Linked DNA regions of Cricetulus griseus. The protein of the gene in region 1 interacts with the protein of each later gene in a pairwise test. Links are inferred from orthologs where the notes say so. Each region holds a gene or a part of one and is shown on either strand. Other genes may lie near its edges. The genes, in order: Abi3, Nup58, Kiaa0408 and Eif3h.

What was found.
Region 2: the proteins of Abi3 (region 1) and Nup58 interact in binary tests that used the Homo sapiens proteins (3 or more experiments, as listed by UniProt). The two-hybrid records come from large-scale screens. The link is inferred for Cricetulus griseus from reciprocal best matches to the Homo sapiens genes ABI3 and NUP58.
Region 3: the proteins of Abi3 (region 1) and Kiaa0408 interact in binary tests that used the Homo sapiens proteins (3 or more experiments, as listed by UniProt). The two-hybrid records come from large-scale screens. The link is inferred for Cricetulus griseus from reciprocal best matches to the Homo sapiens genes ABI3 and KIAA0408.
Region 4: the proteins of Abi3 (region 1) and Eif3h interact in binary tests that used the Homo sapiens proteins (3 or more experiments, as listed by UniProt). The two-hybrid records come from large-scale screens. The link is inferred for Cricetulus griseus from reciprocal best matches to the Homo sapiens genes ABI3 and EIF3H.

The regions. Positions count from the first base shown.
Region 1 is NC_048600.1:108,987,911-108,995,553, reverse strand, and holds part of Abi3 (ABI gene family member 3), read left to right. Parts: intron 1-3,230; coding exon 3,231-3,398; intron 3,399-4,695; coding exon 4,696-4,872; intron 4,873-6,203; coding exon 6,204-6,289; intron 6,290-6,492; coding exon 6,493-6,588; intron 6,589-6,798; coding exon 6,799-7,037; intron 7,038-7,371; coding exon 7,372-7,494; intron 7,495-7,643. UniProt on the Homo sapiens protein: May inhibit tumor metastasis. In vitro, reduces cell motility.
Region 2 is NW_023276807.1:215,227,218-215,234,860, reverse strand, and holds part of Nup58 (nucleoporin p58/p45), read left to right. Parts: intron 1-1,081; coding exon 1,082-1,231; intron 1,232-2,051; coding exon 2,052-2,189; intron 2,190-4,154; coding exon 4,155-4,265; intron 4,266-7,241; coding exon 7,242-7,266; intron 7,267-7,643. UniProt on the Homo sapiens protein: Component of the nuclear pore complex, a complex required for the trafficking across the nuclear membrane.
Region 3 is NC_048595.1:247,811,355-247,818,540, reverse strand, and holds the end of Kiaa0408 (uncharacterized protein KIAA0408 homolog), read right to left. Parts: intron 4,938-7,186; coding exon 4,593-4,937; intron 4,495-4,592; coding exon 4,415-4,494; intron 3,321-4,414; coding exon 2,015-3,320; intron 452-2,014; coding exon 278-451; downstream 1-277.
Region 4 is NC_048603.1:3,231,608-3,239,719, forward strand, and holds the start of Eif3h (eukaryotic translation initiation factor 3 subunit H), read left to right. Parts: upstream 1-2,742; 5' UTR 2,743-2,796; coding exon 2,797-2,928; intron 2,929-8,112.

The DNA.
Region 1 (7,643 bases):
AGCAATGACAGCAAAGTTCTCTCTGTACCTTCCCACAGCCTCTTTTTTGTCCCTACACCAGTGGTGAGAGGTGAGCACCATTTACACTTCACAGCGAAGAAGCTGATATTCGGAAAGGGTTAAACTGGGATTCAAACTCAGAATTCTAGTTGGTTGTAGTGGCCATATCTGTGATCCCAGCACTTGTGGGGATATAGGAGGGGGACCGCCAAAAGTTTAAAACCTGCCTTATAGTCTCTATGTGAGTTCAAGCCAGTCAGGATTACACAGCAAGACACTAAAACAACACAGAGACCAAAACAACAAATCAAAACCCCAAGCAAAAAAGCAGGCAGAATTCTGACTTAGAGCCCAATCACTGACCCTTCAGACCACAGTGCTGCCTTGCCTGTCATTCTGGTGGGTGTGATGAGTGATCAGCCTGGAGACAGATGATCTGGAATGTGGCTTTTGAACCAGCTCTCTCCCACTACTAGCTCTTGGGCATGCTTCCCTGGCAGGGATGGAAGCAGCTCTTTCCCGCACCTGAAAGCGCTTCTGGTGGGTCCAATCCCATGTATGCAATTGGTGTGCACATGGGATCTGAAGCCAAAAGCTGAGTCCCCAGGTCTACCATCTACTGACTTAGGAATCTATGGTGAGATTCCCATTGGTCTTTCTCTCCTTCCTAAGATCTTCCTTCCTTCTTTCTCTCTTTCTTCCTTTCTTCCTATCCTGACATTGTCACTCTGCAGCTCAGGCTGGTCTTGAATTCATGACCTGTCTGCTTCAGTTCCAGAAGGCTGGGATTCCAGGCCTGAACCATCATTTGGGAGATGGGAGGAGTTCCTCTTAGAAGCTATACCTTCTCCAAGGTGATTATAAGTATTGACTGGAACAGTGTGCTGAAGCATTTGCCCAGGGCCCATCATCCTGTAAGGAGGGCAGGATAAATGTAGCTATAACTGCTGCTGTTACCATGTCAGTAGTGCCGTGGTGATGGAACTCCCTCTGTTGAGGTGACAGCTTTTGCAAACATACTCAGGGTATAAGAAACCCTGACCCAGGTTGGAAATCCCTGGGTTCCTTTGTGCAGAGTGCTGGCTCCTAGACCATGCAATCAATAACCATCCCTGCCTGTCATAAGAGGATAGTTTCGGGTGGTGTCTTTCATACGGTCTCCATCCCATCCTTCGCCCACTAACCAGGTGTCAGAAGCCCATGGGGAACAGCAGCAGGCAGATGGGTCAAGTGTATGGTTCTCAGCCAAGGTTGACTGAGTATACAAACAGGGTGATTTGCATGATGAACAAGCAGCTTCATTGAAGGTTCCCTGACCCTTGTTTCTCCAGCCTGACTGTGGGCCAAGATCAAAGTTAGAGGTTAGAAACAGCCAGGCTGGAGGTACCCAGAGCTAAGCCCAAGCAGATATTTCTTGTTTGGGTTGCTATGTCCATGTGCTGGGCTGGGGAGGGAACTGTCCAGAAGCAGAGAGAGACTTGGAATTAAATAAATAATAAACAAATTAATTCCATTAAATAAAGACCCGGAACAAAGCCTGTAGTCCTTTCTACTTTCTTTGCCTGTTCAAGGCTTTGGGTGGCATATGCTGATGAATGTAAATTTTATTGCATATGCAGATAACATGTAAATAGGCACACACATGAGCATCGCTTTCCTGCTGTTAGAACAGAAAAGTAGGAGGTCCATGACATGGGTTTTCCAGAAGGTTCTAGTTCAGGCTACAAGAGAGGAATCCAGATCCTACTGAGGAGACAGCCCTGATAGTTCCAGCCACAGGTCCTATGGAGCACACGAAGTTCCAAGCCAGGAAACCATCAGTGAACTTGCCTCTTCATATTTGCCTCATCTCTGCCTGCCCCCCCCACCCCCACCCCCACCCCTGAAAGGGACAGGCTTCAGTGCAGCAAGCTTGTGATTGATGGGGAAGGAGGAAGCTGTTTGGGGAAGCAAGACACCCAAGAAGGTTTACCCAGCCCCCAAGTCTGGTCTGGAACCAAAAAAAGTTCTTTTGTCTTTAGACATTCTCTGGGCATCCCTTTTCCCCTGACTGGCAGTGTGGCACTGGCCAGTGTCTGGTGTGCGGTAGGAAGCTGCCCAGCCGGTGTTGGGTTCCCCTTCGACCTGTCCATCAGCCAACAAAAGGATATTTATTTATTTATTTATTTATTTAAGATCTTCTGTGTGCTGGGGACTATGTCAGCTTAGGATGCAGGACAGAATGGCCCAGCTCTCTGTTTTCATGGTACTTATGTTTGACTGCTGGGAGGTGAGGTGAAGGAAAACAAAGAACAGAGAAAGTATGATAATAACAGTGAGCTGGGTAAAAGCTTAGGAAGCGGAGAAGCTGGAATCATCTAGAAAAAATAACAACGCTAAGAACAAGCACCAGGTGTCTGAGGTAGATCCAACCCAGCAGTTGTTAGGGAACAGAACTCCAGTGGTCAGTGTGGCTGGAGAGAAGCAAGGGGTGTGTGTGGAAGGGGAAGGTGGTATTTAAAGCCAACTGGGGTGGCACATATCTGTAATCCTAGCATTTAGGAGCCAGAGGCAGGAGAATCAGGAGTTCAAGGCCAGCCTTGGTTACACAGAGAGACTGAGGCCTATTCTACATGAAACCCTGTCAGGAGGGGGAAAAGAGGCGTATTAGAAAGTTGTCAGAGGGAACGAGAGAAGGAAGTCACTTGATGCTGGGACACAGTGATCTCATGTAAGTTCCCACACACCTGCAGGCAGATTGGGGCTAAAGAAGTTCAAGGTCAGCCGGGGGTTTTCTCCCAACCTCAGTCAGAGGGATCTTTGGTTCGCAGGGTTAGGGTAAGGGTGTGATATTGGTTGGTTGGTTTTTAAATTTAGTTGTCTCCTCAGGCCAGCATCACTTCCCCTCTTGCTTTCTACTCCTCACCATCCAGCCTGCAGAGACACACTTGCTGAGGAAGGCAGTAGGGTCTGGTCCTCTCAACTTAGTCCTTGCCTCCACTATTGGAGGAGAGGACTCCTCCCCAGTCTCCACAGCCAGTTCTCTCAGGCTGCAGACTTGTTTTCTTAATGTCCCCTCTAACCCTCATACTACAACATCATCCTTCCGGAAGCTACCTCCAGCATCTAAGGATGGCAGCATTCTCCAAGTTCAGCTCCTGCCTCCTGTAGATTCTCTTCTGGTCCCACTGGACCTTGCCTAGGAAGCAGTGGAATGTGCTGGCCTCAGGCCAAGGCTGTGTGTATTTCAGGCCACAGACAAGCGGAAGGCATTAGAAGAGACCATGGCTTTCACCACCCAGGCCCTGGCCAGTGTGGCCTACCAAGTGGGTAACCTGGCTGGACATACTCTTCGAATGCTGGACCTACAGGGTGCTGCCCTGCGGCAGGTAGAAGCCAAGATCAGCACACTGAGCCAGGTAAGGGTGTGGGAAGGGACCCCTTCCAGCCCCAGCTCTTCAGTCCTACTCAAATATTGGCTACAACAAGAGTTTCTTGTATTTCTCCATGTCCGGGTTATCAATTTGACTACAGAATGCTGGTACCTTCTGAACTTTGGATACCTCCATCATGGCTCCCCAAGTCTTAGTGTGACTCTCACTACCCCATTAGAAGCAAAGTTCTCTGAAAGCAGCCTCTCTCTCTCTCTCTCTCTCTCTCTCTCTCTCTCTCTCTCTCTCTCTCTCCTCTTCCCCTTCTCTTGAGTGTTGCTATGGATATCTAAAAGCTTTGTCTGCCTGTCACAGAACCTGCACAATTGAAATACAGGCAATGATTAATAAGTGTCCTCCACTCAGGCTAGGCAAGCCCATCTTCAGCCCCCGAGTCGTCCCTGCTACCAACTTACAGAGTCCCTACCATTGGCTCATAAATACCCTCAGGCTTCCTTCCTGGGTTCTTGACCCCACAAGGCACATGTTACAATTAGCAAAGTTTAAATTTTGGTCTGACCCTAAGGCCCCAATGGGCCAGGGTACGGAGTGTGTCTTCCTCTTTCCCCTGGAGATCCAAGGTCCCAGCCCTCAAGGACTGAGGGAAACAAGAGGAAGCTAATTCACATATTGGTGACCCTAAAGGGGAAAGCTGACTTGGTTACAATTCTCTGTCACCTCCACACTATGCCCCTCTGCTCCAAAGGCTGCCCTGTCCTTCAATCTCTTCCCAGCATCCCCAGGGATGTTGTTTTTCCCTTTTCTTCTGTTTCCTGCACAGCTAATAATAACCCTCATTCTCTTCTACCAGGAAGTTGCTCCAAAGTGGCTCCATCCTTTCCTGCTACTCTTTTCCCAATTGCTGTATGGCCAAGGGGACAAAACTCACTTTCTCTGGATTTCCCTGCTTTCCATGGCTATTCTTTCCTCCACCCTTCTTTATTTTGAGGTAGCGTTTCACTATGTAGTCCTGGGTGGCCTAGAACTCATCATCATCTAGACCAATTTGGCCTCGAACTCACAGAGATCTACCTGCCTCTGCCTCCTGAACACTCTCTCTCTCTCTCTCTCTCTCTCTCTCTCTCTCTCTCTCTCTCTCTCTGTGTGTGTGTGTGTCTTTCGTTTTTCAAGACAGGGTCTCTCTGTAACTTTGGAGCCTGTCCTGGAACTCACTCTGCAGAGCAGGTTGGCCTGTGCGCCACCACTGCCTGGTTTCTCCCTCTCTTAAAGGGAGTGGTGTTGGACAGGCTGTGCCTCACTGTCACCTCCCAACCCTCTCATGCAGATGGTGAACATGCACATGGAAAAGGTGGCCAGAAGGGAGATTGGCACCTTAGCTACTGTCATGCGGCTGCCCCCTAGCCAGAAGGTCATCCCTCCTGAGAGTCTACCTCCCCTCACGCCGTACTACAGAAAACCCCTCAACTTCAGCTGCTTGGATGACATTGGCCATGGAATCAAGGTAACGGGAGCTTTGCTTGTCCCCTTACTGCCATGTCGTTGCTGCCACCCTCTCCTGCCATGTCGCTCCCTCCTATCTTACTTCTTTGTGAGCTCTTCCTCTCTTAGGCTTCCATGGCTAGGAGCCATGGCCTAAGCTCCTCACTGTCCCAAGGTCCCCAGCTGCCCTCTGCCCTGTACTCACTCTGCTTCTAAAGATCACATGCTGTCCCTGCCCCCCACCCATGGGTACTGGGTGTGTGTGTGTGTGTGTGTGTGTGTGTGAAGGGGAAGGGGGAAGGGAGGGTGTCAGGACACGCATGAGAACCACTTCTTAGCCACATGAGAACAGCAACTTCCTCTGTCTGGGCGTTTGAGGTCACGGCTCTAAGAAGTCACTCCAGAATGCTGGTGGTAGAGACAGGAGGCAGCAACAGAAAGCAGACTTGCTGGAGAGGATATAATCTCATTTTGCCACCACTGCTCCATATCATATTAGATTAGATTTCCTGTATCTTAACCCCTCGATTTTATGCCAGTCCCCGGAAGGGAGAACAAGACTTCTCTTCAGTTCCCAGGTCCCCATGAGTTCTTCCTGTTGTCCAACGTTCTTAGATTTTGTTTTTCCTTGGACAGTGCTGTGGATGGAACCCAGGTCTCCTGTAAGCTCAGCACAAGCTCTGCCTCTGAACTACATGCTCAGCCTCCAGCCTATCCTTTATGCCTCAAGTTCCCTTTCTTGTCTCTAGTGAGGCAGGGTGACAGAGAACCTGGGCCCCAGATGCTCATCCTGGGGAAGTCCCGAAGTTAGAGGTGTATCTTGCATTGGGGGTTGCTTTCTATCATGGAATCTCCTAGGTGCCTTGGGTTCTGCCATCCCTCTGCCTTGAATTTGGGGAGGACAGTTGCATAGGTTTATGGAAATGAGTGAGACAGTTCTGTGTCTCCCCTCTCCATTCCTGTCTTCCTCTCTTGTTGGAGTAGACATCAAATTAGAGTTAAGGACCACCAAGTCACCCAGGTCCTTTCCTATTTAAGATAGTGTGGGCGTGCAAAGGCCCACTCAGTCACTGTGGCTATGCAGAGGAAGAGGTTCTCAGACGAGCTGCCGGCTTCTTTCGGGGAACCTTTGTGGGACCTGCTGCAGACTTAAGACCCTGTGGCTCAGGCAAAGACACCCGCGTATGGGGTGGGGGTAGGGCGGGAGGAGGGCTGGGAAGTGGAAGTAGGAACTTGCTGAGTCTGGCTAGTCCTCCCAGTTCTCCGTGTTCGTCCCTTCCCCAATTCCTCTTAGGGGTGAGGGTGAGGATTGCTCCCCTTATGTCAGATGTCAACTCTATCCCCTCCCTCCAGGACTTGAGCACGCAGCTGTCGCGGACTGGGACGCTGTCTCGCAAGAGCATCAAGGCGCCTGCTACACCTGCCTCCTCCGCGCTGGGGTGAGGCCTCAAGGCCATTCCTACCAGCCCTGCCCAGCTCCTTGGGGTTCTCAACTGCTTCCCTACCCCTTGCCAGCAGCACCTGGTGCCTTGGTATCCCTGAGCCTGGGGCCGATTCTCCCTCCACAAGCCATCCTTCCTAAACCCCAGTTCTGCTCAGCAGAGGCCCCTCCCTCCTTATGCCACCCTTACTCCACTCCCAGGAGACCACCCCGGATCCCCGAGCCCGTGCAGCTCCCAGCCGTGCCCGACGGCAAACTCTCCGCTGCCTCCTCTGCCTCTTCCTTGGCCTCGGCGGGGTGAGCGCTTGAGTCTAGTGGGTGGGTAGACAGTAGCTGGATTTTTAGAGGGCGGCCTCCTATCAGACATCTGGGGTTGAGAAAACTAAGGTGGGAAAAACTCAGGGTGGGAAAAATAATTTGAGGCCAGATTTTTGGGTTGGAGGGACCCTTTGGGGACGCTAAGTTACAAGGCTTCTCTCACGTGTGTGTGCTCCCTCTGGTCTTTAGCAGTGTCGAAGGTGCCAGTGGGACCCCCCAGGCAGCACTTGCAACCTCGCCTCCTCCACCTCCGGCACCTGCAACCCCGCCTCCTCCACCTCCGGCACCTGCAAACCCCCCTCCTCCACCTCCCGCACCTGCAACCCCGCCTCCTCCACCTCCGGCACCTGCAACCCCGCCTCCTCCGCCAGTCTCTGCGGAGGTCTTCTTACCACCTCCTCCGCTAGAGGTGTCCCAGCCCCCTCCAGGTACTTAGTGCCCAACCCCCTCCACCCACACCTTGAGACTCCCATCCGTTCTTTTGGGCTCCAGCCCTGTGCTCCTCAGGAACCCCCGGGGAAATCAAGTGAACCGAGCCTATTTTTACACTAGCCCCGCGTTTGAAGCTTCTCATTTAAAGTTAACTTTGCCAGGACCTTTATAGGCATAATCCACCTGCCTAAGGGTTGCTCAGCAGTGTCTGCCTACCCTGTACTGAGTTCTCCCAAGCACCACCAATAGGCTGGAGGCTGGTTAGATCCTAGGGACAGTGCCACCTATCCCATGCACATACATGTAGTTTTTTTTCTTCCTCCCCAACAGCAGAGTTGCCTTTGCCCCCTCCTCCAGCTCTAGAGGGGGATGAACTGGGGCTGCTGCCTCCGCCCCCACCAGGTTTTGGACCAGATGAGCCCAGCTGGGTCCCTGCTGCGTACTTGGAAAAAGGTACTCTTGGGACCACAGAACACTAGAATCTATTGCCAGGTTTCCGGCCTCTTTAGCCCCGACCTCTACTCTTCATCCCAGAGGCATTTGCTCTCCCTGCCAAGGTGTGACCCCATTTTGTCTCTCCATTCCCCTCCTTTCTGAAGCCT
Region 2 (7,643 bases), on another chromosome or scaffold:
AGGCCTCAGGTCCTCAAGTGCTACCCTTCCCTGAAAGTATACAAGCAGTTTGTAATTGCTGTGGAGAGAGAAACTTTTTTCAGTGGTGTAGTTGCCCAAGCCCTCACTCAGACTTCTTTTGGTCTCCACAACTAAACTCATTGTTGACCAGTGATTCCTTTTGACTTTTTTTTATCTGGGGTGAATAAACACTAGTTCATGTCTCCTAAAGAAAAGTTTATGCCAATACCAAGATGCTGCTAAAGTAACTGAGCTAATACTGAGAGTAGATGAGAGATTGCAGAGACTGACAGATTAAGAGGTTGCTTTAGAGGTGGCCTAAACTGAAGTTTTTGAGGGTGCCAGTAATCCAGCAATATTTTTTGAAACAAAGAAGCTGGTGGTAGTTAGGGTTAGATTCATATACCTGTGGTTGAAATGATAAAAATGGAGAGACCAGTGGAGGAAGCAGCAACAGAACTGGCCTGAACGGAGGAAGAGATCTACAGGCAGGAAAGGAGGAGTGAGAAGAGAGCTTGGTGCTGACAGAAACGGGGGTCCGGGAAGAAGAGGATTTTCAGGAGTACCAAATGATACTTGGGTAGTTTGTGACAGGAGGGACTACTTTTCTGTTGAGAGCAAAGAGAGTTTTGGGGAATAAGTGCTATTACAGGTAAGTCTGGGGATGGAATTGCAATTGCCATTGTGTTTGTATTCTTTTTCTTTGGGTTTTTTTTTTGTTTGTTTGTTTTTGTTTTTGTTTTTATATAGAGTCTCACTATGTCTCTCAGGCTGTCCTGGAAATCACTATATAGACCAGGCTGGTCTAGAACTCACAGAGATCTGCCTACCTATGCCTCCGGAGGGCTGGGATCAAAGGCGAGTGCCACCACACCCATCTTGCATTTCTTTTTCTTAACCCAAAGGATCATCTTTTTTATATTTTTACCATGATTTAGTCCCAACTTAAGTATTTTCTTTCACTTCTACAAATCCTTTTATCCCATTTATGATAAAGGATTATAGACATAAGGATACTAATTAAAACCAGCATAATATCTGTATGATTAAGATAAAATGATTTTTTTTTTTTTTTAAACAGGAACACCAGCTACTACATCTGCATCTACAACAGGCTTCAGTTTAGGATTCAGTAAACCTGCAGCCTCTGCTACACCATTTGCCCTGCCTGGCACGTCTACCTCAGCTAGTGGTCTCACTCTGTCGTCTGCTCTGACATCCACGCCAGCAGGTGAGACAGAATGGGAAGAAAATTGAATGTGATGCTTACATTGAAATTTTATCCAGTTAGAGAACATCAGTGGCCATTTATATTAAATAGAATACCAGGCTGGGAGATGGTGCAGTGGGTAAAGCATTTGCTATTGTTATTATAAGGATTTGTTGTACAAGAATAAAAAACTCTAAAACTCAACTATACTTTGGGAATTTTTTTATTTGAATTAGTTGGCAATTTTGTCTTTTTGAACTATTGGCTTAGTAGTTCACACCTATGATTTGGGAGGATGCCTCAGGAAGATCTTGAGTTCAAGGCAAGGCTTGGCTATGTAACAAGACTTTATTTGGGAAAAAGATAGCATTGGCCATTAAAGCAGTTTGGCCATCTTGAAATATGGCCTCTGTTCAGAATAAAGAGGATCAGAGTGGTGAAATACACAGATGTTTTTTATCTTATTTGTTGTCAAGAGACTTTATGGCAGGATGTATAAAGACATTTGTAAATTCACCTGGCTCAGGATTCATTTGCTTTTAAAGGCAGAAATATTGTCTGGGATACAAACTATATTGTCTAGAATCAGTTATTGGGTGCCATTGGAATAGTGCCCAAAGCTATTTTGTTGAATGAAGGGACAAAGGGGAGGAACCCCAGTTACTGTCTTGAAGTTGCCGTTCTGCTTTATTCTGAGTATTTTCAAAGTTTTCTTGAGCAAGTGGTTTCCCCAAAGGTTTAGATGTGTCAATGGGATTCTATTTTTGAGAATGTCCTATTTTCCTGTAGTGTTAAGTGCTATATGAAGGCTTATTCATCTCTCTCTTTCTTTCACTCTCAGCATCCACAGGATTTACTTTAAATAATTTGGGAACAACACCAGCCACAACAACAACAGCATCAACCGGGCTTTCTTTAGGGGGGGCCTTAGCTGGCTTGGGAGGTTCACTTTTCCAGAGTGCAAACACAGCAGCATCGGGTAATTGATAATATTTTTTTTTTCCAGAATAGTAAATGCTTGCATTTAAATTTACTTTAATTTAACTTGTTAAAAAGGACACGTTTTTAGACAATATTTTTCTTTCAGTATGAAAACCAAAATAATAATTTTCCTTTGTAAGTGGACATTTTAGCCATACTTCAGAATATGTTGTCATTTTTCCTCAATGGGCCTATTTAAGGAAAGATTCAGAAAGCTTCCACCAAAATTTGTCTTTTAAATAAATGTCAGTTAAGTTGTCTTGGCAGAGGATGTAGCTTGGTGATAAAATTTGCTTAGTTGGAGTTACAAGGGAGCTTTACATCCAAATACGTATTATAGCCAGGTAAATCTGGCTTCCCAGTATGGTTTTCATTCTGGAAGATAGGAGAGGGTGTTCTGAGAATTATTTGAAGACACTGTGTAATTATTTCACATAAGAGTGTAATTTCAGGAGTTTCTGGTTAACGGTTGGCCAACTAGGAGAGTTTATGTGTATTTAAATTGTAAAAAACCACAGTATTCTGAGGCTGATTTATAGTAGCTTTTTTCCTTTGGCTGAAATAGGTGAAAAAGCATGGCTGATGCCTTCTACCAAAGAAACTAGTAATTTTTTTGTCTTCTATTGAGGTATTAAATGAATGGAAAATATTCAGGTGATTGTAAAGGAAGAAAGAGTTGGGTCACGGGGACCTGTAGAAATCTGTAGTGTTCACGGAGTACCTTCCAGTGACTAGATACAAATGACTGCATCATGCTTACTTGTAGGATAAGCGTGTAAACATGTCTCACAGATTCCTGTAATACCAAAATGAAAATACAGTACAAAGGAGAATCAGGAGATCATTTTATAACTTCCCAGTGCTTTGGGTTTGCTTTTCTTATTGCTGTAACCAAATACATTATGAAGGCAGCTTGAGCTTCTTCTATGCAGGGCATATAGCAGAGGTTAAGGCATGGCAGGTGGGCAGTGCTGCCTGTGGTGGTAAGAGCTTGCATCTTCCTGGCTTGTTCACATCTGCACAGGATCAGGAAGCAGAGCATTCTCAGCAAATCTGCACCACTTCTTAGACTCTTGACATAATACTCAATGCTTACTTTATGCCTGTGCTAACCTAAAGGTGCCATTGACTTGAAAAAGAAACAGGTAGAGTATCACTTCCATGAAATGCTTGGAGCCAGAGTTTTATATATTGGTACATTCAGATTGTAGGTTGGGGTTACTTAGCATAATTTTTATTTAACTATTCTTTTAGTCATTGCCACAATTTAAATCTAGTTTTCAGTTATCACATCACATTTTCTCTGCTTTTAAAACAGGTAACATCTTGTCTAACTACCAGGCATACTAGTTTAGGAATGCATTGGTTTGTAGGAAAATAGGTTTGTCAACACAAAATCTGGTTGCCTTCTAAGTATAATTACTATGATTACTGCCTTTTTTTGCCAGTGAGGTGAGATTTAAATAAGAAAATAAAGGCTATTTACTTTTTAAGTAAACTTTTTTTTATTTTAATATCCTTTTGGGGATGTGTATTTAGTATTTAACATTTAAGGTATATCACACTCACATCTTATGAATTCACACTAGATTATTTTAAAATTGTGCAGTTCCAAAATATTAAACAGCAAGATGTATTCACCTGAAAATATATCATGTGAAATAAATTTTGTAGAAAAAAATTTAAAAATAAATAAAAATTCAATGTTTACCTATATCAAATTAGATATAGTTGAGCCCTTTTATAGTGAGAGATTCCAACTTCCAAACTAAATATATCATTGAATCCAATGAGATATTATCAATATTTACCCAAATTATTTATTACAGATTTGTTTCATGTTAATGTCCTAAAACAGGTAGTAGGAAAATCTGTGGTCTTCAAAGTATTGAGTGCGTTGCCAGTAAAGGGGAATTCTTTTAAAATTAGGAAAGTTGATAAATGGTATTTGGCTTATTTACAGGTCTCGGACAAAATGCTTTAAGCTTGTCTTTGGGAACAACAGCACCTGCTTCAACTGCATGCAATGAAGGCCTTGGTGGTATAGATTTTAGTACATCCTCAGATAAAAAGAGTAAGTGAAGTTATCTCAATTTCATGTGGTAATGGCATTAGGAAGAAGCTTATAGGTTACTCAAAATTCCTGCTTGAAAGATCACTAGCTATGTATTTATTAGGACCTTTAAATTTGTTTGTATTGTCTATCATTAATATTCACAAATTTGAGCATAATATATTGGCTTTTTTAAATACCTTAAATTTGTGTGTGTATATGTCTTACATAGCTTTATTAATGTTTATATTAATGCTTATTTTTAAATCAGAATCATGATCTGTATGTTTGTAATCTACTCTTACTTGACTAACATTGGACATTCTTGTTTATGTCAGTAATTAGTTGATATTTTTTAATTATAAAGAGAGGAATAAGAGAAAAGCACAACTTTATTTCTCTTCTTTCCTGTTCCTCCACAGCCCTACTCTTATACTGTGTCTGAGCTAGAGTAGAGCAAAGATTATGTGAGAATAAGTACCATGTACCACCTTCTGTTTCCCTTAATTGGTGATTGTCAGGATTCTTCTGTTAAATCACAGATGTTTTTCCACGTTCTCTAGTGTGTGTGTGTGTGTGTGTGTGTGTTGGAGGATGAAAGTGCTCAGAGTTCAGAAAAAGGATCATATTTAGATTCTCTGGAGCTAGATTTGAACAGCGGCTGTGAACCACTGCCACAGGTGCTAGTAACCTAACTGGAATCCGGCGTAAGAGCTGTCTGTGGTCATTTTCTTGATTGGTGACTGATATGGGAGTGGGAGGGCCCAGCAGTACCGCCACTGAGCTGGTGGTCCTGGGTTATATAAAGTAACTATTCCCCCCCATCGATAGGGGTGTTTTATCATAACAATAGAAGCCTAACTAAGACACCACTGATCCATATCTCCAGCCCCAGAATGTCACTTTTTATCAAGTAGCTATAGCAGTTAGCTCTGGCCCTATATCTATGAGATTTAGCCAGATGGAAGGAGAGTAATAGATAATAAAGAAGAGGCAATATGGATTAAGGCTTTGCCCTTCTGAAGAGGTCAGATAGACACAGCTTCCTTCCAGAGTTATGAAGGGCTTTTTATACCACATTGTTTTGTAATTAAACTGGAGGGTTTTGATGAGATTTGTTTTAAGATTTAAGAACATTTATTACTGTTCATTATAGCCAAGAGATAGAACCAGCTTAGCTAGTTCACCAGTGGGATGAATGGATGAAAGGAAAAGATGGCATATTCACAGTACAATTGGGTTCAGTTGCATAAGATGAAATGATGATACTTGAAGAAAAATAGATGGTCCTGGAGATTATGATAAGCAGATAACCCAGGCATTACTTGTTTCTCTCCTCCTCCTCCTCTCTTGTGGTGTGTGTGGAGGGGGGAAGCTGGGGGTGGTTATGATGTGAGAAAGAGGACTGAAATCTAAAGAAATAGGGGAGCAGGAACTAAAGATAATCAAATGTGTGTGGCATGAAAGCAGGAGTGGGAAATGTTTGAGGGGAAGAAAGGTACCATTAGATAAGATGGGTAGTGAACAAATAAAGCAAGTTTAGTGATATGTGTGTATGGAAAAACAAAAGGGGGAAATGGAGGGTAAAAGGATGAAAAACATTTAGATGGCTGTGTGGAAATCAGCAAGCCAAAGAATGCAAGAGTAGCATAGGAAGTGTTTGTAAGAATATTATTACTGAGGCAGAGGGTGGATTGATAGGGTGCATGGTAATGTAGCCCATTTTACAAATTGTATATAGAGAATTGTAGCTCAAAAGTAAAGTATCAAAGAAATACTACATGGCTTAATCACTATTGTATTGCTGTGTTAAAACACTGACCAAGGCAGCATATAGAAGAGTTTATTTGGCTTACAGTTCCAGAGGGGTAATAGTGCACGATAATAGCAGAGATGGTAGGTGGCAGGCCTCTGGAGCAGTACTTGCGAGCCCGTATCAGGAACAGCAAGCAGGAAGTGTAGAGAACAAACTGGGATTGGAATGTGGCTATTGAAAACTGAGTCAGCCCCTGGTGACACACTTCTTCAGCAAGACTACACATCCTAATCCTACCCAAACAGCACCATAAACTGGGGTCCAAGTATTCAAATTCCCTAGATTATCAGGGCATCTCATTCAAACCACCATAGTATATCAGTTTTAAGAAAATGAGCTATTTGGCTTAAAAAAAATTAAACCCTTGGTTTTATTACTTTCTCATCAAATCTTAGATTTAATTTTAGAAATAGATGAATGAAATGTAATATGTTTCATGTTGAGTAACTTAACAGTATGAACAGTACCTCAGGGAAAATGGACCGATCACAGGAGTGAGCAGTTTAAAAATGTAGAAAACATTTTTTTACATAATGCACATTTTTTTTTTTTTTTTTTGGTTTTCTGAGACAGGGTTTCTCTGGAAACCTGGAGGCTGTCCTGGAACTAGCTCTTGTAGACCAGGCTGGTCTCGAACTCACAGAGATCCGTCTGCCTCTGCCTCCCGAGTGCCATAATGCACATTTTAAGAAAATGTTTTACCTCACTACTGCTGTAAGAAAAGTTTGAATGATAGTAGATTGGCATTTTAAGTATGATGTCCTTTGTTGAGGGTGAGATACATTTTATGCCTGTGGCAGATGAAAATGTACATGGAGACAGTCAGTTGTCTTAAATGATTGACAGAATGTTTTATGGATTGTTAGGTTAGAGAAGTTAGGGCATCAGTACTGGTGATGGTGGTATCTAGAGTTAGACAGTGACATAAACTGTTCATACAAAAAGACCAAGTTGTTTCTTCTTGAGGGAAGTAGATGCAACTGAACTCTGTAATGTGTTTGCTTGGTGTCAGATCTCCATCGTTATGCTGTGTTCTTCCTGCAGTTCATGATAGGGAAAAATCATATTGCATGATGTCGAAATACTTTGTATTTTGTTTAATTTCTGTTCATTTAGAACTTGGTATGTGTTACTGTGTTGTTGAATGACCTATTTTACATGAATCATCTTGAATTTTCTAGGTGATAAAACAGGAACAAGGCCAGAGTAAGTTTAAAATTTAACTTTAAATATTGTAATTACATTTTCTTTACTAAATTGTTGGCAGATTGTATAGATAGAAGTAAATTATAACCAGGTATACATTTAGAAGGCAAAAATTAGTGTTTGCCAAAAATGATAAATACATGTTCTGGAAAACCTCTGAAATATCAATCTTTGATTACTAGTTATGAGAAAATTTAAAACCATTTCTTTTGGAAAAGGTGTTGACATTCCTCAAATAATACAAATACTTGAGTTTTAGCCTTCTCTGTGCTGAGTTTTGAGCCCAGGGCTTTGTGCTTGCTAAGTGTGAGCTCTACTACTGAGTTATTCCTGCAGTGCTTACACTATCAGTTTTACATACACCAATTACTATTCCA
Region 3 (7,186 bases), on another chromosome or scaffold:
TAGAATATACAATATTGTACATTGTGTCAACTTAAATCATTTTGAAAAGTCAATGAAGATGGCAATAAAAAAATCTAATCTAAGAAATTAAAGTACAAGGAGAAAATTATCCCATAGATTAAAAACACTGAAGACTGATGGAAAGTTAGGGTTAGATCTCTTGTCCCAGTGATCTTGAAAGATGCAGAAGAGAACAGGACAGTTTGTAAACACGCTGAATATTCAGTTTGGCAAAAGGGATGAGAACTTTTGTAATCCAGCAATCCAGGCTAGGGATCTAGACCATCTGGGCTGCGGTTTGCAGAGAGACTTTATAGCTGTGGGCAGTCCTCCGTAATGCTGGGGGTGCGGATGGCGATCTGGATGCCCATCTGGATGGGAGCCGGCGATTGGCTGGTCTAGCAGGTCGGGAAAATCCTTTTCCATTCGAGGCTTTCACTGCTATGGATTCCTACAACACAAATAAAGGCCACAATCTCCTTACACACACCACCTTTATTCAAGGGATACATCAAAAGGGTCACCACCACCACCACTGCCATCATAACAACTACAAAAGTGTTCATGAGATTTTTTAACTCATGGTTCCAACTGTCCTTCTTCCAATGATTTTTTAGATTTATTTTTATTACATATAGATGTTTTGCCTGTATTCATGTATGTGCACTATGTGTGTCCTGGTGCCCACAGAGGTCAGAAGAAGTCATCAGATTCCCTGAAACTGGAGTTAACAGAAGGTTACAAGATGCCATGTGGGGACTGGGAAGGGAACTCAGACCCTCTGGAAGAGCAACAAGTGCTCCTAACTGCTCATGCATCTCTCCACCTCTTGCAAGCCTGCAACTGGCCTTCCTAATAAAGCTGATGCTCTTGCATCTGAGACAGGCAGTGAGGACAGACTCAGGTGCTACTATTTCCCTCAGACCCAAGCAATAGCCTCATATTTTATTGTCTCTTTGGATACTTAAATTTAATTCACAGGGGTTTTAAAATACCTCCCAAATCGCTAAACAATGAAAAAGAGGAAACATTCAGCATCTATTCTTAGTTCATGAGAAATTTGTTGGTTATATTTGTGTTTGTGTGTCTCTGGTCATAGGACCTACAGATTTATGGTTTCAACTAAAATGCAGAGAAGTATAAAAGCCAGGGAATTATTTGAAATGCTGGCTAATATAATGTCACATTATTTAAATTACATATTAAAAAGGGGCATTTTGTATAAGTCTTCATAGTAAATACCAATTTGCTTGACCTCTCCCTTTATAGTTAATGAAGATGTGCTCTTTTAAGTGGACAAAAAAGAGCAAATGATTATTTAAATACCCATTTTTGTTAATTTCTATGTAAAAATATATATGGCTAGCTGTATTTTGTAGACTTTTAGTGGCACAAACAAAAGAGTTTGTTTTTTGTTTGTTTTAAATGTTTAAACACTTGAACATTTAAAACAAGAAATTGTTTTGCTTTCATACACATTTGTGTGACTAACCCTATGAGACACAAGTCATACAATGGGAAAGTCTGAATCAATCATAATTGAGAAAGTGGGAGTTATTAAAAAATGTTGTATGTACTGAAATAATAAAGCTTTAGAGTAAAACTCTGTAAGTCAACAGATATGTATTCTGATTTATTTTAAAGGAAGGAAACAAATAACTTTCCCCAGGTTCTTGAAAGCATATTATATCAATATTACTTATTTATTTATTATTTACTTATTTTTGAGGCAGGGTCTCACAATACAGTCCCAGATGACCTGGAGCTCAACTTTGAAAACCATTCCGGTCTCAAACTCACAGAGCTCCACCTGCTTCTGCCTCCTGAGTGTTGCAATTAAAGGCACGAGTGACCACATGCGTCCTTGATATGACTTATTTTTAAATAATGCACTAGTTGAAGTATTTAAAACTGTACCCTCAATTCATATTAAGTTATGCCTCACAGAGGGCCAAGAAGGTAAGAAGATACCAAAATATGTCTACACCCTAATTATATGATCTAGCAACTGAACTGATTTCAGAGCTATTGCTAAAGATGGAAGTAGTCCCTGATGTCCCAGCTGTGTTATCCCTGCACTAAGTAAATGTTCCATTTGATACACTTCTAAACATCGGCCCCACATGGTACCACCACTTACATCAGAACCGCATTTGGTCCAGTTATCCCTGAAGCATTTTGAGTTTTGCTGGACAGACCCTGTCTCTGTCTCATAGGTTTTCAGCAGCTTTTCCACCACACGATAATTTGATCTGGGATCAGCTGACTTTGGCCGGCTAGAAAAATTGCTTGGTCTCCAATCATGCTCATGGAACATGAGCTGATAGGTGCTGGGACTCACGAATGCCTGCATTTGTTTGACCAGGCCAGTTGCAGATACTTGTGTGGAATTACTGAACACTTTTTCCATGGGCACAGGTATGTGGTCACTAGCTTTCAAGCCATTAGTCCCATCGTCACTTTCTGATACGTCGTCTTTATCAGCAGGAGAGCTGTCACAGAGATTGAGATTATCAGGTGGTTTTGAATAGCTTTGACTTTGCTGTACTGCTTGACAACTTCTGTCTGTCCTAAATACAGTCCTGTTAAATTCATCAATCTTTGCTGCCAGCTTTTCATTCCTTGGAGTCCTTTCTAAATTGCAGTTGTAACTTCTACGTGGGTCTGTCTGTGTCACTGAGTGAAGAAAGTCACTTTTCACATGAAGATCAAGATGAGATTTAGTAGGGTTTTCTGGAATCACCTTTTCAACTTTTGCTTTATTGGGGGTGAAACCAATTTTTTGAGACAGTGTAGAAGGGCTCTCCTTTGTGCCTATAAAAGTGTCACATGACCACATATTAAGTCCAGTGTCTTCGTTACCTGGAGGCTTGCTATCTATTCTGACTTCTGGTATCAAAGAGGAAGCCATGGTACTATCTTTCAATCTTCTGTCTTCTTGTGGAAACAATGGAGACTGCCTCAAAAGAAAATGAGGACTGCAGTTCCTTTTGTCTTGACTCTCATTGGCCACCCACCTGTGGTATAAACTTTCCTTCAGTCTTTCTTGGGCTTGTTCAGAGTATGAGCTGGGGAAATTTCGAGAGGTACTTCTTGGAGGAGGAATTGGTGGAATTTCACTTCTTTGTAAGTCAATTACACCAGTTCCACAGTTTTTCATTGAATTGTTTTGGAATCTGTTGGCCCAGCTCTGATTCTTTTTCTGTTTTTCTTTCTCCAAATTGGTTGGAAGAATGCCCTGGCTATTACTGATAAAGTGGTCCCCATGAGGTGCACTGATTGCATTTGGCATTTCCCGGAGAACAGAATCTGACTTCATCCTAAATAATTATAAAACAAGGTATGTCAATGACAATTTTTTTCAAAATGAGCTTTTAAGGGAAGCCATAGTTTAAAAAATACATTTCAGCTATAAGTCACAATTTGCTGAAACATTGTGTGTGTATACTTTTATATGTGTGTGTACATATATATATATATATATATATATATAAATAATGTGATACATAAGTATGTGTATATATGTGTGTATATGTTCATATTCTAAATCCACTTATTACAAATCCTCTTTATTGCTTTATTGTAGGATGAAGTCTTCAGGGTTACATTCATGGATTTAACCCAAATTTTAGTCAGAGTCATTCGCTAACATGAAAGCTCATGCTAGATTCTAACTAGACAATGTAGTCTCTTGAGTTTCTGCTCTTGCCCCTCCCATTTCTACAGATTTTCTCCTGCCATATCCTTTCCCTCTCTTTCCTATGCAATTCCTATTCACTATTCATAATTCCTATTCGGTCTTCCTTTTTCTCCTTGCATTGTAAATAACCCTGGGAACAGTGTTAGTCTGAATGAAGTGTCATGAGCACTAGGAAACCCCAAGTGGAAAGTCTCATTTGAATTTGAAAGGAAACTAAGATTATATTTCATGAATCAAAGAAAGGGAATACAAACAAACAGGCTCTAACAAGGTGTGCCCATTGAGGGAATGAAGAGTGCCCTGGATGGATTTAAAGCAGAGTGAGGGACACAGAAATACTAAGGCATGCCAAATCTTAGATCAATGTTAAACCATATATTGAGGCTCTGAAGCGCTTTCTAGAGGGCATTGGGATGACGACAAAATCTTCACTTTTTAATGGTTTACGGGTTATTTTTTTGAGAATTTCATAAAATAAATTTTGTTATATTCTTTGATCTTCCCTTAACAGATACATTTATTACAGAGTCCACCTTAATTAAACACGCAAAGAATATAATAGTCCTAATATTTAAATTGTGAAACATATTAGAAGATTGCTTTTAAGAATCCATGAAATAAGATATACATGATGAGGCAGTTTAGATTCACTGACTGTGAAAAGAATTCTTTTGAATTTTCTGGTTTACAATGGTCACACGTGTGCCAGCCTACCTTCTGTGGTTAGGGCGCTTTCGGATTTCCTCTTGAAAGGTGCATAATTCTTCACTCACTTTTGCAAGTTCTTCAAGAGCCTTCACACCCATAACACATAAAAAGAGAGGCGTTGTTAGCACTCGGAAGTGCAAGCACTTCTTTAGAAACACTTCCTGGCTGATCTGGTCTTACTTACTGTGTTAAGGGCGACAGAACAATCTTTACTCTCCTCCTTAGAAGTCCTCATGCCAGCCTCCTCATGTGCCTCCTCTTCTGTGGCCAAAGGATTCAGAAACCCGACTTTGTTTCCTGTGGGCGTGTTTTGGTTTTTATAAGCTTGGTTTCCTTCTCTGAGGAAGTCCCTTTCTAGCTTGTTGTCCTTGTCCAGATCATCTCGGTGATTCATCACTCTAAATTCACATTGTCCTGAATTGGGGTGATTTGGAGGAAATTCCATTTTATCTTGATCACGATCAAGAGCAATGACCTTAGAATGTTCATTCATGTTCATTTTCCTCCTCAGCTTTACTTCCTGGCAAAGCTGTAGGAAATAAAAATTAAAAATTTACTTTTCCTAATTTTCTTGATCAATATATTTTCTCTTTCTCTTTTATGATCAATAAATTTTCATAAGCAGAGTTTTATTACATAGTCCTGATATGGAACCCATTGTGAAGACCGGAATGGCCTCATGCTCCCCAGTATCTACTTGCCTCTGACTTTGAATACTAGTAATAAAGGCATGTGCTACTATGCCTAACTTTGTTCAATATTCTTGGATACTAAGCAAATCATTTCAAGTCCTTTTTGCAATATTACTACATACTACCATGGGTATTAATGCTTGTGCATATAGATAGTGCCTCTAAAACAGGAATGAGATAGGACAGTTTTGGTGAACCGTAAAGACTAGTTTTAGTAGGGCAATGCATGGATACCACATTCTGTTTTTCTGATGAGAAATCAACTCATTAAAAAAATAAATTAAATCTGGATCTATACAGAATGCAGAAGCACAATCACAAAATTACACTGACCCAAATCAATCACTCTCTATTCTCTATAACCACTTTCTAATATAACAAAAGTTTAACATTAATAGTCATATATTTTAAACATACGATCTTATGTAACAACATAAGATCTAAACTGTCTAAATAGCTGACAATATCATATAGTAAATCAGCATATTCTTTCCTCTAAGTAATCCCTTATTAATCATTTCCTTGGTTGGTCAACTACTTTATCAAGGGGTAGATATTATAGTGATATTTTTAATGCCACAATGATACACATTCTTTTAACAAGTTGTTTTTACTCATATTAAAATGATTGCATCAATGTTCTACCTGATAAGCCAGAACTTTAAAAATTGGACTATCTATCGCCTCAGTAAAAGACAATCCCAAATTATTTCTTAAGGAGGCTGCCTTAGTGAAATCAGCAGATACTCCATCAGCTTACTCCCAAAGTGAAGAAGGAAGCAGTGTTTTCCTGAGATTTGCTTACATCTTGCAAAAGCCTATCATATTTCAAAACAGACCATCAAATAACTTTAAAGCAAATACCTTTATATTTCACTAAGGTAATAAATGTAATAACATACTCAATATTTATACATAATTCCAGTTGAGAGAGTATACATAACTAATACATTAAGGATACATGGTGCTTTTAGTTCCCCAATATTGATAAAGATTTTAATCACTCATTTCCAAACTACAGCAATAAATTGATTGTTTTGATGCCTACAAAATTAATTGTATTGAATTGTTCTTCAACATGAATGATATAAGGAACAACCCCCAAAGTCCCCTGTTAAATTTAAGGATATTGTTGGCAGTGTTTTCCCATTTTTAAGAATTCCTGAATAGACTTGGCATGGTGGCACTCACCTTTAATCCCAGCACTCAGGAGGCAGAGGCAGGAGAATCTCTGTGAGTTCGAGTCCAGCCAGGTCTACAAAGCAAGTTTCAGGACCATCAAGGCTGTTACACAGAGAAACCGTGTCTCAAAACAGAACAAAACAAAAAATTTCCTGAATTAAAAAGAAAATTGCTATATTTTTAGACCCAGGGGAAATTGTGCTATTCACAACTCATGGCTTTTCATTTTGCATGTTAACTATATTGGGTTCTAGAAAGACCCACTCCTGTGTATTATATACAATTCCTTTTCATGTATTCATCTAATCCTTCAGTTTTTGGTTTGGTATAATTTAACTTATATGTAATTTTATGCCATTATAGCTTCCCAAAACTCAACTTAGTTGAGAAATTAAAACAGCAGCAGCAAGAATTCTGCCCCCCACCCCCTGAAACTAGTACTAGTACACTGTAACAAATGGAAAACTTTTTCTTTGGTATAGGAAATTTTTCCTGTTCAATAGCTGAATGACCAAATGACACAAGCAGAAAAGACTGCAAGGGAACAAAAAAATTTCAAGATTTCTATCAGCTAAGTTATACATGATCATAGTTCATAGGGAATTATTCCAGGTTTCAAATTGTCTGAGTACATATGCCTTGGATTTTCAATAGCAATTGTAATGAATGCGGAGAGGGACTCAGCAGAGATACAGGACCATCTTCATACTGGATGCTTTCACTCAATTGTATTATTACTTAAAATCACCAATGTTACAGATGCACACTCTGGAGTCTGCGTCTTTCTAGCACATGGCTCAATATCCTGAAAGAATTTAATACTAGAGCCTAGTAACTTTAAACACACGTACTGTACTTGTTAAACAACATATTTGCTAAAGAAAAAATACTTCACTATGTTTGA
Region 4 (8,112 bases), on another chromosome or scaffold:
AAGAGACTAGGATAAAACCAAGCATTGTTGGTCTTAAAAGAGAAAGTAGAGATAAAATAAATCCTAATGATATTCTTCTATATTCATAGATGAGTGCCTTAGTCAGTCATCATGAGAGAAGCTGCCTCCTGCAGATGAGAACAAATACAGAGACCCACAGTCCACACACACACACACACACACACACACACACACACACACACACACAGAGAGAGAGAGAGAGAGAGAGAGAGAGAGAGAGAGAGAGAGAGAGAGAGACAGAGACAGAGACCTTGGAACACACAACTTCAAAAGGGATGTCTCTATCAAATCCCTCCCCTCAGAATTCAGCCCCCCCCCCCCCGGAAGAGGAGGCAGAGAAAGGGTGAGAGTCACAGGGGATGGAGGACGTCAGAAGAAATCTCTAAATCAGCTGAGCAAAACTCCTATGTGCTGAGTATTGGATCACCTGCTATTGGCTTCCTCCGCCGCCGATGCAGTAAGCCAAATCAAACCAAATTTAGTAAACAGAGCAAAACTCAGGAAGGAGGAGAGAGAGAGAGAGAGAGAGAGAGAGAGAGAGAGAGAGAGAGAGAGAGAGAGACAGACACACAGAGAGATAGAAAGACAGAGTGTGTTCCAGGGAGGAGCTGGGATGGCAGGCTTTCTCAGGGGCGGGGTCTACAGTGGGTGGAGCGGGTCTGGGTGGAGTTTCCCAACAACAGGAATTCACAGAGACTGAAGCAGTTATCAGAGGACCTGAACAAGTCTGCACCAAGTCTATCGAGTATATATTATAGTGAAAGACCCCCAGACCCCTAAGGGCCTCAGGATCCCGAGGAGCCCCCAAGACTCAGAAACCAGACCAAAGGCTGCAAAAGCAAGAGGGTTTATTGAACAAGTGCGCATTCGGGTGTCAGCAATATCGGGGAAGCTGCACACGCCAGCCAGGGTTACAGGCTTCTTATATAGGAAAAAACCGCAGATCAGCATACAGGCAAGGGGCACAAAGTGATTGATTACAAAGTATGAACTCATGTTAGAGTGGTCACCAGGTGTGACCTGCTTTTTTATAAAGGAAAAACCATAGAACGTACCCTGAAAAGTCCTTGATTGTCTGTTGGCCAGGTGTGACCCAAAAAGGATTGTTTGTCTGCCCTCGGGTTGGGGCAAGGCCTGTGGAAAACTTTTTCTCTCTGTGAACTAAAATCTTTCAAAACCTTTTCTCTCAGCAAACTAAAATCTTTCAATAGCTTCCAGTTTAGTTTTTTTTTTTTTTCTTTTCTTTTCTTTCTCCAAGACAGAGTTTCTGTGTAACAGCCCTAGATGTCGTGTAACCCACTCTGGCCTGGAACTCACAGAAATCCTCCTGCCTCTGCCTCCCGAGTGCTGGGATTAAAGGTGTGCACCACCATCACCCGGCCGTTTCTTCCTACTTTTTTTTTTTTTTGGAGCCTATCCTGGAACTAGCTCTTGTAGGCCAGGCTGGTCTCGAACTCACAGAGATCCTCCTGCCTCTGCCTCCCCAGTGCTGGGACTAAAGGTGTGCGCCCCGCCGCTGCCGCCGCCACCACCACCACCACCACCACCACCACCTGGCCTACCCTGCAGGCTCGACTCCCATTTAATTCTTTGTGAGGGTTTTATTTTTGCATTTTACATCCCTGCTACTGATTGGTAGTGTCACTCCTCTATGACCCACCTTGTGGAGATTTTCTCTGTGGTCCAGGAGATGGTCTACTTTGTTCATATTTCTTATAGACTTGAAAAATCGGTCGTTGAATCATTAGTAACACTTGGGGTGTAACAGTTTCTGTTGTCTGTATGATATATAACAGACCCTAAGTACTAGCAACAACGAAATCAAAACATCAGGGTACAGTATGGTTTGCCACGGTGTGAGCATTGCATGACTCCCGAATAGTGAGTGAAGTCCATGCTCATTGCAAACATAAGGCGAAAAGTCACTTGGGAGCAGGGATTGCTTAACATGGCTTGCTGCACAACCGATGCAGTGGTTTGCAGACCTGATACCATGTAGGTCCCGCGTGTCACAGGCCAGCACGGTTTGCAGGGCATGTATTCTGAATGCTCACCATTGCATCAACGTGAACGCTCCAACGGCCCATAAAAGAACCCCTTTGGGGGCTGGAGAGATGGCTCAGAGGTTAAGAGCACTGGCTGCCCTTCCAGAGGTCTTGAGTTCAATTCCCAGCGACCACATGTTGGCTCCCAACCATCTGCAACGAGATCTGGTGCCCTCTAATGTTGTATACATAATAAATAAAATCTTTTTTTTTTTTTTTAAAGAACTCCTTTGGTATTTTACTCAAGCGAAGCATCGGTCCTGGAGACCGCAGCAAGGTTAAGCACGGTCTAAGTACTTTCCGTGCGTTCCCTGGGGTTAGAGACTGCACAATCTGAAACGTCACAAGGCCAGCGAGCGGCCCCAGGAGCTTGTCACTAGTTAGCAAGCGCTGTGGCTTGCCTCACGCCTCCTTGAAAGCTGGTGGGAGGAGTGGGAATTAAACTAGCAGCGGGAAGCACTTTTGCACCGGCCCCGCCGCCCGAGTGCGCGCTCTGTCGCTGCAGCGGCCGCGCGTTTAGCGGAGCGAGTGCAAGCGCACGCTGGCCCGGGAAGGATCCGGGCAGGCACGCAACGCGCATGCGCGGGGCTATCCCCGCCCTCAGGAAGCACGGGGAGGGGGCGTGGCCGCACCCTGGCCGCCCTTCCAGACCCAGACCCCCCCCCGTCCAGACGCCGTGGTTCCGCTTCCGGCGCCGCACGCTTCCCTCTCTTCCTGTCTGGCCGGGACCATGGCGTCGCGCAAGGAAGGCACCGGCCCCAGCGCCGCCTCGGCGGGCTCCGCGGGCTCCGCGGTGGGGAAGGGCAAAGGCAAAGGCGGCTCGGGGGACTCGGCCGTGAAGCAGGTGCAGATCGACGGCCTGGTGAGTGCGGGCGGCCCGGCTTCCGGCCGCTGTCCCCGCGAGGAGCAGCACCCTGGCCGGCGTCTGCACTGTGGCTCCAAAGGTTTCCACCGAGGGGGCCGGGGGCGAGCAGAGCCGGGGTGGGCGACACGTTGCATGCCCTGGAGAGCCGGTCCAAGCCGGTGACAGCTGCTGCGGCGAGCAGGAGGGTTCAGGGCCCTGCGAGGGGGAGAGAGAGAGAGAGAGACACCTCCGGAGGAGGCTTTATTTTAAACATTTATTTATTATGTATTATACAACATTCTGCTTCCCTCTATATCTGCACACCATCAGAGGGCACCAGATGTCGTTACAGATGGCTGGGAGCGACCGTGTGGGTGCTGGGAATCGAACTCAGGACCTCTGGAAGGGCAGCCGGTGCTCTGCACACCATTAAGGGCACCAGATGTCATTACAGATGGTTGTGAGCCGCCGTGTGGGTGCTGGGGATCGAACCCAGGACCTCTGGAAGGGCAGCCGGTGCTCTGCACACCATCAGAGGGCACCAGATGTCATTACAGATGGTTGGGAGCCGCCGTGTGGGTGCTGGGAATCGAACTCAGGACCTCTGGAAGGGCAGCCAGTGCTCTGCACACCATCAGAGGGCACCAGATGTCATTACAGATGGTTGGGAGCCGCCGTGTGGGTGCTGGGAATCGAACTCAGGACCTCTGGGAGGGCAGCCGGTGCTCTGCACACCATCAGAGGGCACCAGATGTCATTACAGATGGTTGTGAGCCGCCGTGTGGGTGCTGGGAATCGAACCCAGGACCTCTGGAAGGGCAGCCAGTGCTCTGCACACCATTAAGGGCACCAGATGTCATTACAGATGGTTGTGAGCCGCCGTGTGGGTGCTGGGGATCGAACCCAGGACCTCTGGAAGGGCAGCCGGTGCTCTGCACACCATCAGAGGGCACCAGATGTCATTACAGATGGTTGTGAGCCGCCGTGTGGGTGCTGGGAATCGAACTCAGGACCTCTGGAAGGGCAGCCAATGCTCCTAACACTCTGAGCCGTCTCTCCAGCCCTGTCACCCTCGCTTTGAGTAAGTAGTGCATCACTTCACCTGGGGCAGACCCTTAGGCAGTGCTCAGTCTGCACAGTAACAAGCCGCAGGGAATAAGCTTTTTAAGCTTTTAATAGGATATTTCTGGGTAAGGTTTATGCACCGGGGCATCTGGAAAGCTCGGGATAAGAAAACGCATGGGACGGAAGACGTGGGCATCTCAAATGATGTGGGTTTCCAAGCTTGAGGAGCATCCTCCAGCAGGTTGTGCTGGCACATGGCTTTACTTGGAGCACTGGTGAGGCGCAGGCCGCCTGGGTGAAAACCCTTTATGCTGGTGACTGGGTGTGAGCTTGTGAAACTGTCAGTCGTGGTTATGGTCGACTGTGATGTATCTGTGGACGCCAGAGTTTGCAGGATGCTCGGGAGAGCTCTGGAAAGGTTTATCTAATATTTAAATGTCCCCTGTATAAGGCAATGCTGTCTCCTTTGCTTCGCTTACAGTTTCAGCTTTCAGTGGCTTTTTTGAAGCAGGTGCCTTCAGGAATGAATACTACATTTTTAAAGATTGTCGGTTAGTTGGTGGGTGGTGGACTTGAATTGTAGAAGTACCAGCTAAACACTCCCGGAACGTGTTTTAAGTCTTAAGAACTAATGTTTTAGTGCACTTGCATATGCTTTGAAACCACTCTTTGGATTCCTTGGTTTCCAGAGTTGTAGAAGGCAACAGGTAGATATTATAAATCGGTAACTACAAATACATATTTTAGGACTTGGGCTGGGCTTGGTGGTACATACCTGTAATGCCAGCACCTGGGAGGGTGCAGCAGGATGCTAGGGAGTTGTTTGTCAGTCTGGGCTACATAGTGAGACTGTCAAAGAAGAGAAAGTAAAATACTTTCAGGGCAGTCTTGAAACTGCAGAGCTGTCATGGGACAGTGCCTTAAGAAATTTGAAGCAGCCGGGCGTTGGTGGTGCACGCCTTTAGTCCCAGCACTCGGGAGGCAGAGGCAGGCGGATCTCTGAGTTTGAGACCAGCCTGATCTCCAGATCGAGTGCCAGGATAGGCTCCAATGCTACACAGAGAAACCCTGTCTCGATTCCCCTCCCACCCCCCCCAAAAGAAATTTAAAGCAATAGGATTGCTGCAGGTGGAAACAGACAGGGTCATTTGAGTTCAGCAAGCAGGCAGTGGGCCTAGGAAAGTCAAGACACTTGTTTGGGATTTCTGTACTCACATACCACTGTTTTCTTTACTTGGAAACTGACTAATGCTCTTCTTAAGAGATTGGATTAAAAGTTTATAATTTACTATGAAGATAGACTTTTTAGTGGCAAAGGGCCTCTTTTAGTTATCAGGTTTCCTGGCAAGTCATACTGAGAATTAGAAGCTTATGAGTGAACCCAAGTGAGTCATCAAAAGGGACACTCAAGTCCTTAAGGGCCTTTACTTGCTGAGTCATCATGGTGGCCCTTAGTTCAAATCTTAATATCCCCTTTAAAGATATCTTGATTTTTTTGTTTGTTTGTTTTTCTCATTCATTCAAAAAATTCCAGATCGTAGCTCCCTTCATTAGATGTTTTTGGTGAATTTGGGGCCCATCAAGGTGTAGTTTTTGTGTTCAGGTTTGTTTCCTGTTCTTCCCACACTTTGTCTAGAAGGTATGTTTCAGTTACCTGTGACCCAGTTAGCCATTCCCTGGCTAGGTCCTGCAGCTCGTCTTCCTTTTGTCCATGACATTCCTCTTGACCGCCTTGTCATGTTCAGGGTTGCTGTGTGTGACTTAATAGAACTGTGGTTTTAATCTCTGGTTTAATTTGAATCTGTGTATTTCAGATATGTTCTGTGATTTAGTAAAATCGTGGATTACCTGTCTTTTTGTTCTTTTGAGAGAGGGTCTCTGTGTAGTTCTGACTATCATGGGACTAACTACATAGACCGGGCTGGCCTCGAACTCAGAATGATCCTCTTGCCTCTACCTAGTTAGTGACATCGAGCTCTGCCAGATGCTATGCATAAGGCATGGATGAGCTACTCAGATATTAATTTCATATTGATTATGGTTGCTTCTGGCATGTTGCTAGTGACTACAACCAGTTAGTATTATCCTTAGAAATATAAGCTCTTGGTCATATTGAAGGTTAGTTCATAAGAATGACTTGATGTATTTCAAATATATTTCTATAATAAATGTATTCTCATGGAATTTAGATGCCTTGAGTAGTTTACCTCTCTAGTTGTTTTTTGGTTATTTGTTTGTTTTGTTGTTTTGAGACAGGGTTTTTCTGTGTAGCTTTGGAGCCTGTTCTGAAACTCTTTGTAGACCAGAATAGCCTTGAACTCACAGAGATCTGCATGCCTCTGCCTCCCGAGTGCTGGGACTAAAGGCGTGCGCCACCATGCCCGGCTGCCACCCTTCATTCTGTCTTCCATTTGTACAGCTGCTTCCTGTGTTCTGTTTTATGCGGCAGATGCTGTTATAAATGCTTTGTGTGTAGGTGGTGTGGGCAGACTAGAGATCACCTTTGGAGTCATCATTCTCTACCTTAATGTTTCTCTTTATTTCTAAAAGTCTCATATATGCAAGAATGAATTTGATCCTATCTGCCTTCCTTTTGCCTCTTTTAACCCTCCCAAGTACTTCCAGCGTGTCCTCCTTCCAATTTCCAACTTAATGTTTCCTTCTTTCCTGCCTGCCTGCCTGCCTGCCTGCCTGCCTGCCTGCCTGCCTGCTGCCTGCCTTCCTTCCTTCTTCCTTCCTTCCTTCCTTCCTTCCTTCCTTCCTTCCTTCCTTCCTTCCTTGTGCCTCTTTTTCTTCTTCCTTTTCCTCTTTTTGGCTGAGATGCTGTTGGTGGTAATCTATACAAATTCCAGTTAGTCCTGCCTATATGGGTTTGGGGTCATCTGCCAGAGCTTTGGAATCCTACTGGGCCTGACTCTCCCTTCCCCAGGGACTACTCACTGCCACTAGCCCCACACTATGGGATGGGCACATCTATCCCATCCATGCCAGACTTTTGGCTGGCTTCATCTTGTGCAGATAGCCACAGCTTCTGTGCGCTGTGCTTCTGACAGCCATGACAGCTTCTGTGCGCTGTGCTTCTGACAGCCATGGCATGCCCAGAAGACGTGTCCTGCAGTAGTACTTTGAGCCTTACATCCTTTCCCCTTCCTTCTCCGTGATGTTCCAGAGACCCAGTGGTAGTGGGGTCAGTACAGCTGTCCGTGTTAGACCTGGACATTGAGCATTGACTCATCGTGCATCTCTGTTGACCACCGTCTACTGCACAAGAGCCTCAGTTACCAAGGTTGAGAGCAGCTCAGGTCTGTCGGTATAAGCATACTTTTAATTAATTTTTTACTTAAATTTTTTTTTTTGTTGTTGTTTTTGACAGGGTCTTACTAAAAAGCCCGTGGCTGGCCTGGAATTCACTGTGTAGATCAGGCTGCCCTCCAACACGCAGCAGTCCACCTGTCTCTGTCTCCTAAGTGTTGGGACTGAAGGTGTATAGCACCATTCTTGGCCAAGCATGAATTGGAGAAGGCATGTTGACCATGCCCATTCAGCGAAGTGGCAAAAGCAAGTTCTGCTTTATGCTTTTGACCAGGATTACAGTATGAGGCATTCAATTTGTGCCTGTGGAGCAGGTCTTTAATACAGTCAGAAAGCAGTTAGTTACCCCATGACCGTTATGCTCCTGTCTTGCCAGTAGGCATGGCTTGTCTGTCAGGTTGGTGCAGCAAGTGGGGTGCAGTGCCTGATGGGGCCATTGGTGTCTCTTCTCCCCCCAGCAGCTTGTCCACTTCCTATTGAAATCTAGGGCCCTGAGGCGGACCTAGACTTGCTGATAGTTTTGCTGCCTGACGGGCTGAGTTACAGGAACCCAGCACTCCTTTCCTCCCTAGGACTAGGGTGTCGGGTGCCAGCACCAAGCCTGGCTTTCTTTTAGGTGAGTGCTGAGGAATTCCGGGCCTCCTCAAGCTGGTGTGGCAAGGCACTTTACAATTCGCTGTCGTCTACAGGTCTTTTCTAAGTGTGGTATACCCGCGCTCCTTCGCAGCGGCCTCCGCTCCCCATGAGCCTCTGGTAAAGGGGGAATAGTGTACGTAGAACTGTGGCTCGTCTGAGAACGGTGGGCACATCTGTGATCCCAGCATG